2 linked regions of the Neurospora crassa OR74A genome follow. Each later gene encodes a partner of the first gene's protein in a complex. Links are inferred from orthologs where the notes say so. Each region holds a gene or a part of one and is shown in the gene's direction. Other genes may lie near its edges.

Region 1 (4,100 bases):
GGAGGACGGTATGGCTTCACGCTCTTCGGTGGGCGATGCCGTTTCGCAAGCAATTGGTACCAGGAACCCGCTCGGCGCAATTGGAAACGATCCTCCATCTGCTAAGGGCAAGGAGGAGGATAGGGGCCGTACCAACGAAGTCCAAGATCCGTTGGAGGGCATGCCCGCCATCGAAAAGTTTGGCTTGAAGGGTTTGCGCACCTTGATGAATAACTTCCCCGACTACAACTCCCTCATTATCGGGATCGATCCTTCCAGTTTAGGGTTGGAGCTGAACTCTTCTGAGTATGTGTAACCGGACTTTTCGCGAGCCCAAGCATCAAGCTGATCTTCTCCAGGCTGTATTCCACGCAAATCTACTCTATACTGGACGATGTCCCTCCCAGGCCGGCTGTGCCAAAGTTCAAGATACCCGAATGCTACATGGTCAAGAACGTACAGCCTATTGAGGCCAAGATTCAGAGCTTTAATGAGGAGACTTTGATGTGGATTTTCTACAGCTGCCCGGGCGACATCAAGCAGCAACTGGCTGCAGCTGAGCTGTAAGACTACTCCCAGTACCTTCCGTTTGATTGTCGTTATGGAGCTGACCAATCCACACAGAACTACGCGGAACTGGAGATGGCACAAGAAGCTTCAAGTGTGGCTTACCAAGGACGAGATGGGTAATACGGCTCAACTAAGCCCAGCTCATGAACGGGGTTACTACATCGTATGGGACACCGTGAACTGGCACAAGGAGCGGGTAAGTAGTGTGCCGTGGTTCGGCCTTTCGCTTATAGGTGGAATATGCTAACGACCTCTCCAGAGAGAGTTCACTTTGTATTATTGCGACCTGGAGACCAACCTCGGCGTTCCAATGCCAGCAATAGGAGCATAAGCTTTCAGACTCATCAGCACGGCATGCATATGCATTCGTGCTTTGGGTTATAGAGAAAGGGCTAGCTCGACACGCCTCGAAAGGGTATCCTTCGCAGGGGCGGACATACCTTGCGAGGATTCACCGGGTAGCTCTTTGAGCGGACCGCATTGCTTAGGAGGGAGGTTATTAGATATCTGAACCTACCGGATACAACCCAAGGTATAGCGCTGTTGAATCATCCATGGTCAAGGGGCTCGTCTCAGATGGGAAAAGTCAGAGATATCATGGGTTTCGGTCAGCGAAATAACATAGGAATACCAGCCGTACCGGACAGATCATTATCTGCATAACAATCATGGTCGAAACAACTGTTGCTTGATATTCAAACACTTCCAAGCTCCAACGTTTGCGATCAAACTGTCTATATTTCGGTGCAAGCTTACGCGACGTCTTTCGTTTTGGTAATTACACGCAACCTCCTGGCTGTTACCAGTGCCTGCTCACACGTGAAAGTTGTGTAATCATTCCGTTCATTGTTACGCTACGGTCGCAGGCTTGGCATTGCCCCACTGCGGCCGAATTCATGGATGTCACTGCTTTCCCCAACTGCCTCATCACACTCACCTATGTACACTATATTCGTCTGTACACTACATACTTAGGAGGCAAACCAACGCTTACCTGTAATTTCGACCTCGCTGGCCACACTACCTATTTCGGGACCATCGTATCCATCAACTGCATCTCGTCACAACGCATTCCTTTCTTTCATCCTCTCCTTGCCACCAACATCGACATCGACTGCCCTTGGCACGCGTCACCTGCCTCAATCCCGTTAGTCATCGGCATCGTCTTGCGACGCGCATCATACGTCAGGCGTTAGGGAGCGAAGCACTTTTCGACGGGGATTTTCAAGCAACAACACAAGCTAGAATTCGCCGGGACAAGAATACTAGATTTCCATTCTATAGATCTTACTCAGCAAACCCCCACGACTTCCCGGACTTAGCTGCCCAGTCGAAGGAACCGGTTACTCGGCGACAGCCTAACTTCCACATCGCGCAAACGAACGATTGCGAGAGGGGTCAACAACCAACAAAAATAACAGTCTACAATGGCAGAGGAAGAGATTAACATCCCTTCCCTGGTGATCGTACTGTTGGTCACTGGCCTAGCAGTACGCTACTTCTTCTTCAGCGGAAATGCGTCTTCGGCGAATCGCCAGCCGGGCGGGACAGGCGGCGCGACACCAGAGGAGTTGCAAAGACGGAGGGAACGAGAACGAGAAGCGGCGGTCGAAACGATACAACAGATGTTCCCACAGGTAGACAGACGGACTATCCTGTGGGATCTGCAGCGCCATGGAGGAAACTTGCAGGCTACAACAGAAAGGATTTTGGCCGGGAGAACGGAGACTGTAAGTTCCGACCTCTTTTTACTTTTCCAAGCTTCGTTCTCCATGCCTCATATGATGCGCTTTTGCTCGTCACTCGTAGAGAGCTTTTGCTAACACCTGAGTGACAAACCATCCTTTAGCCTCCGATCACCTTTCAGCCTCCGCCTCCACCCAGCTCGCCAGAGACAACCGCTGCTGCGCAGCAAAGTGCAGCTGCCGCCGCCGCCAGTAAATACGCGGAAAAGAAGGTCCACCCGGATCTGATCACAAGGTATAACCTGAGGGATAAACTTGCCAGCGCCCCTTCGGAGGATGCCGGGACGGCGGCGGCCGGCGCCCCAAAGACAGGAGGCTGGAGCTCGAATCGCGAGGAGAGGCAGTCGTTACTGCGGAAGAGGAGGGATCAGATGATTATCGAAGCCAGAAGGAAAATGGAGGCCAAGATTGCGGCGGAGAAGACGGCTGCTGCTGCTGCTTCGGGCTCCGCCGCCGCCGGGGATAACTGAAGGCCCATCGGCTTGAGTTTTGGCTCTGTAAGGGGCAGTATTGGAGTGGAACATGTTTGCATGTAATGAAACAACGTATAGAACCAACACAACTTTAAAGAGGAAAGGCTGGTGGAAGGGGTTTGAGAGAGTTATCACACACATGTCACAGTTTGGGGCATGTATAGATTGTAAGAGACGAACTAGGCATCATGATGAGGCTGAAGGTGGTCGGATAGATCGGAAGCGTTCTCTGTGGTCAATAGGGGTCATCTGGTGTTTCAGCGTAGCTACAACTTTGTACGAAGACATTCGTATTTATAAGATTGAAAGCCCGATAAATACGTCGCCAGAGGTGGAATTGCTTTTGGAGTCGACCATCGCAGCAAGGCACCTGACACTGCAGCTTGTCTCCAGGTCTCATATGTGCGAGGTCAAACCCTGGATCTCTCCTCAGCGGCAACATCCGGCGTTGACATCTTGCAGCCGCTCTTGGCCAGCCAAATGGGTGGCCCTTGCAACTTCCAACATCAAATTTACGAAGCTGACCTTGGACCACTCAAGTCCGTCTCGAATAAACTGGAAGTTATCAACTGGCTACGCAGGATCAATCGGCATCCATGAAGCCAAATGAGGGAACAACATTCAGCCCCAAGGCAGTCCCGCCGACGCCTCCACATAGACGCCCTTCCTTATTGCGCTCGATGTTCTCGATATCATCACTCCAGCACCACATATCTCTATTTGGTGACGGGGAAATCCCCCCGACCAAGCTCAAACCCGCCTCCACTCCCTCCACACCTATGTCGGCAACACCACCACCCAAACACGATATAACTGCCACTAGGAAGATGTCAGAGGCTGGAACCGGATACTTTATGGCTGGCTTGGCCTCTCCAACGAGCACTTCGGAACGTGGACTCGTGCCAATCACAATAACGCCAAAGACGCGGGGAATCGATTGGCGATATGGAGCGCAAGGTGAGCGAACCCCAGCCGATTTTCTCTCCGTGTTTGGTTTCGGTTGGTCCCAAATTGGTCACTAACCTTGTTCGATCTTGACTGTCACTCTCTCCAGGCACAAGTCTCCTCGTAAACGCAGCCGAAGAATCGCGCCGCAGCGGGAACAGCGCCTTCAGTTCTAACTTCGAGCGATCAACCTACATAACCGGTCTCCAGAACTTACTCAACGGACTACCACTGGACCTCCGAGAATCCGAAATAACCACACTGCAGCAAGCCGTCCCGCCGGCGGTGGTCACCAGGATCATCCAAGAGAGTAGCCCTACTGAAAACAATAAGCCAGAAGTAAAACATAAGGACGTCTACAGGGAAAACGTACTCCACAAGTTCCTCC
Region 2 (4,057 bases), on another chromosome or scaffold:
CTGATTCCGTAGTAGCAGCAGTAGTAGCAACACTGCTCTCGCCCTCGGGGAACGACGGTGGAACCGCCGGGCCGGAGTACGTCACCGGCTTTTCTCCGCCCGCAGTAGTAATTCCAGCCTCCTGGAGCCTGCCGGCCAAAAAGATCAAGCGCTTCTCAGCCTCGGGCAAGAATCGTTGGGCAATCATCTCAGACGACAGCATGCCCACGTCATCCACCCGCCAAAACAGCTTCCACCAGTTCATCTGCCTCCACGCTTCGCCGACGAACGCAATCTCTAACTGCTGCTGCAGCTCCTCGTGCGCATCCTTGGCCCAGTCCGCCAGCGCCTGGTTCAGGCGCGCAATCGTGTGCGGCGACGGGCCCCCTTCTACCGAGACCTTCATGTCGCGGTACTCGGCCGCCTGGAGCGCCGCGCCGGCGTTGTGCAGAATGGACTCAATCAGCTTGCGCACGGGCGCCTTGGTGGCCCCTTCCTGCTCAGCTTGCGACAGCACGTTGGATCGCAGCCACTTGTTGATGTGTCCCACGCCGGCCTCGGTCCAGAGGGCTTCGTACTTCATGGCGTTGCTAGCGCTCTCACGGAAGAGGTCGAGGCCCTGTGCACCAGCCTCGACGCTAGTGATGACCAGGGACGGGCATGCGGCCTTGTCTTCGGCGCTGATCCTCTTGAAGTTGGCGACGGCCGTGATGGTGTCTTGGCTTTCTGGGCTGATGGGCAGTGACAGGATGGAGGCGGCGCTCAGGACGCCGTCGGCTACCAGCACGGCCATGTGCACGGGCGTGACGATGGGCGCCGAGTGGCCGGCTGTGGTGGCTGCTGTGTCGACGGCGGGCACGAGGATAGCCTCGTCAAAGGTGTGTGGCTGCTCGCCCGCCTGCGCGACGGTTGCCTGGTCGGCCTCCATGACTATCATCTCGAGGTTGGCATCGTTGTAGATGTGCGACGGCACGGTGATTTCGGGGATCACATGTTCGCTCGCGGCAAGCGACAGTGGCGTGGCTTGCTCCTCGGGAGGGCCGATGTGTACGATGAGCGGCTTGGAGGGGTCGTGGGCCTTGAGTTGCGCTTCCCAGTTTTGGGCGGATTTCAGCGGATCGGCGAGTGCCAGGCGGAGCAGCTCCCTGGCAGTGTGTTGGGGCTTGTCGCCGGTGGTGAGGCCGAGGAATGCGACTCGTATCGATTCATGGCCGGGATCTTGGCTAAGGTTGCGTAGGGCGAGCTGGAGGCGCGGAAGATTGACGTGGTTGGGTGCGAGGGTTTGTAAGTCGCGGAGAGCGCTCTCAAGGTCTTTGCGGGGATCAATTGGTTCTGGTTCGGCCGGGGCGGCATCGGCGGCGTCGGAGGGCGTGCTTATGAAGGGCCGGAGCGGGGTGGCGCCGGTCGATTGGTATCGTGGTCGAACAGCCGGCGCTTCTTGTGGTTTTGCCCTCGTTGCCCGGAGCTTGTTGAGTGGTGACGATGTGGGAAAAGTGGAAGGCCGAGTCGCAAAGGAACAGAAGAGACATACGGACGACGGTACTGTCCGCTGGCCAAACCCGAGACCGCGGCCGCGGCTCTGTAAAGCCCGTCGTAGGCCCAGCGTTGGCGGCATGGCTGGCTGACGAGGTGAGAGGTTGGCAAGCTAGAGCGGCGTGGCTCCCAGTCGACGACGAGCCATCGAGTTTCCGAAACCGAAACAAGAATAGATGGAATGGCAGATGCGATAACAGCCAATTGCGATAACAAGGAAGCCGGTTGCGGTTGACCGAGAGCTTTTTTTTACCTCCCTAGAGGTAGTCTAGCTCTCAGGTTGCCGGCCGGCAGCTCAGGAAGGGAAACAGCACACCCGGCCGCTAGAACCCCCCGGCTGGTGTACCTGTCGTAGGCGCTTCTGGAAGGGTCCCGGGCCCTAGCATGTATGGCCCCTGTGGTGCAGCAGCAGCAGCTTCCCCAATTCCCGTCCCGAGACGTCCCATGGAAATCAATCCCCGCCGAGCGGACCGACGTCAGACGTGTCAAGCAACTGCGCCGCTGACAACCCCCGCTGCAGCCCAGTGTGTCCTCCGCGCTTCTCCTGCATGCATCGATTCAGTTCGACACTTCGTTTCTTAAACCAAAACAAACAATCGATAAGAAGTAGATCACGACATATCTACCTTCGTCTTAACCATATGCCCAACCCACAGTAACTGCTTGCGACACCACGCGATTCCCATCCCGATCACCAAAGCGTATATCCATAACACAGTACCGCCCCCGAGGCACTCTCCTCAGAGAGCCCCACGTCTCGATCATCAACAACAACAACACCACACGAGGACCCCAACAATAACAACAACACCCACCATCAACCAACAGCTACAATGTCTCTCAACGTAGCCCAACGTCGTCTCCTCCAAGAATACCGCGCTCTAACCAACAACCCACCCGAAGGCATCACCGCGGGCCCCATTTCCGAAGACGACCTGCTGCACTGGGAATGCCTGATCCAAGGGCCCGAAGGCACCCCCTTTGAGGGCGGCGTGTTCCCCGCAGAACTCAAGTTTCCGAACGATTACCCGCATATGCCGCCGACCATGAAGTTTCTGGGGGATATATTCCATCCTAATGGTGTGTTCTTCTTCTCCTTCCTCTTCTTCCTTTTTTATTTCTCTTATCCTTCACTTGGTTCTTCTCACCATCTGTGGTGGTCAGGCATGCAAAGTGCTAACGGAAATCAACCCTCCAACAGTCTACCCCTCAGGTCTGGTCTGCATCTCGATCCTCCACCCACCCGGCGACGACCCGAACCACTACGAGACTGCCTCGGAGAGATGGTCACCTATTCAGTCCGTCGAGAAAATCTTGTTATCTGTTATGAGCATGTTGGCGGAGCCTAACGACGAGAGTCCGGCGAACGTGGAGGCGGCCAAGATGTGGAGGGAGAAGAGGAGCGAGTACGAGGCGAGGGTGAAGGCTAGTGTGAGGGCTAGCTTGGGGCTTTAAGGGCATGGAGAGTTGGGAAGAAAGAGGATGAAGAGAGTAATGGAAGGGCGGGTTCGTTGTGTGAAGTGGTTGAAGAAGGTTTCGTGGATAGAGAGCGAGAACGGGGGTGGTGGTGGTGGTGGTGGTGGTGGTGGTGGTAAAGGGTGGTAAAAGAATCTCGGAGTGACTAAGCACTTTGAACAAGAGGAAGGGTGGTGGTTTGAGGTATACTTTTTTATTAGCATGGCATGGCACTGGTGTTTTCCTTTGAGGATAATAATGACGAACTTCCTATTCCCATGTTGATGATGTTTTCTATATGACCTCCGTTCGCCTTGTCCGCTCGAACAGAGACATGTCTACAGCAGACAAGTAGCTTGAGGTTTATTAGCACTCCTTTCCCGTTCCTTCTAATATAGGTATCATATCTCAATAAGCAGTTTAGAACATTAACCCTTCCGCCCCCCTACGTTTCTCATCAACCCATTACTATTCCACCCGCCCCTTACACTCACATATTATTCTCCTTCTTAAACTTATCCCAAGCCTCATTAAGCGTGGCAAATACCGTTCCAGCAATCATCCTAACCTCGGTTGACGCATCCGTCGAAATCTGGTTATCATCTTCGTCAGCAACCATCCCGGATATTTCTGATTCACTTCAAATTTCCAAGAAGACAGAAAAAGGGGAAGAGAAAAAAAAAAGAAAGACAAAGCTTACCTTATCAGGATGACACTTTGCGATAGCCTTCATGTAAACAATCTTGACCTTGTTCGCCACCACCAATTCATGCAATCCCACCTTCTTCCACCCGCTCCCCTCCCACAGCACATTATCCAAACTCGCCAGCAGCGCGCGCAAGTTATCCTTCTTGCCGTCGCGCCAGCTCGCAATCTTCGCATCCACCTTGTCGGCAAGAGCAAACTTTTCGCTTCCTTCCTTCTCCGCGGCCTGGTTGGCTAGGCGGAGACGTTGGACTGCTTCGGAGGATTTTTGACTTGTTGCTGCGCTGGGAGTTGGGCGGGGACGAGCTGGAGCGGATTTGGTAAAGGCAGAGACGGAAGGAGGAGGTTTGGGAGCGAGAGCTTTCTGACACCTCTGTCTCCCCGC

The links. Proteins that work in one complex are often made in the same cells at the same time.
Region 2: the proteins of NCU07672 (region 1) and NCU03623 are in contact, whole or in part, in a crystal structure (PDB 6OP8), measured with the Schizosaccharomyces pombe proteins. The link is inferred for Neurospora crassa OR74A from reciprocal best matches to the Schizosaccharomyces pombe genes cue1 and ubc7. Residues at the interface, in NP_587825.1 of Schizosaccharomyces pombe: Asn173, Arg174, Ser175, Lys176, Leu177, Lys181, Arg184, Glu185, Leu187, Phe188, Arg191, Lys192, Glu193, Met195, Ile196, Leu197, Ala199, Arg200, Arg202, Met203, Lys206, Ile207, Glu210; in NP_595778.1 of Schizosaccharomyces pombe: Met11, Tyr14, Lys15, Leu17, Thr18, Glu19, Asn20, Gly21, Pro22, Asp23, Gly24, Ile25, Thr26, Ala27, Gly28, Pro29, Ser30, Asn31, Glu32, Asp33, Asp39, Leu41, Gln43, Gly52, Leu54, Arg161, Leu164, Gly165.

The regions. Positions count from the first base shown.
Region 1 is NC_026504.1:2,290,332-2,294,431, forward strand, and holds NCU07672 (hypothetical protein), read left to right. Parts: upstream 1-1,515; 5' UTR 1,516-1,976; coding exon 1,977-2,279; intron 2,280-2,398; coding exon 2,399-2,764; 3' UTR 2,765-3,080; downstream 3,081-4,100. Other genes in the region: NCU11372 (hypothetical protein), read left to right, coding at 1-285, 339-542, 604-745, 809-880; NCU07671 (hypothetical protein), read left to right, coding at 3,364-3,724, 3,822-4,100.
Region 2 is NC_026505.1:1,883,122-1,887,178, reverse strand, and holds NCU03623 (ubiquitin-conjugating enzyme E), read left to right. Parts: upstream 1-1,959; 5' UTR 1,960-2,345; coding exon 2,346-2,592; intron 2,593-2,713; coding exon 2,714-2,967; 3' UTR 2,968-3,292; downstream 3,293-4,057. Other genes in the region: NCU03624 (hypothetical protein), read right to left, coding at 1-1,594; NCU03622 (UBA/TS-N domain-containing protein), read right to left, coding at 3,458-3,559, 3,668-4,057. UniProt on the Schizosaccharomyces pombe protein: Catalyzes the covalent attachment of ubiquitin to other proteins. Functions in degradation of misfolded or regulated proteins localized in the endoplasmic reticulum (ER) lumen or membrane via the ubiquitin-proteasome system.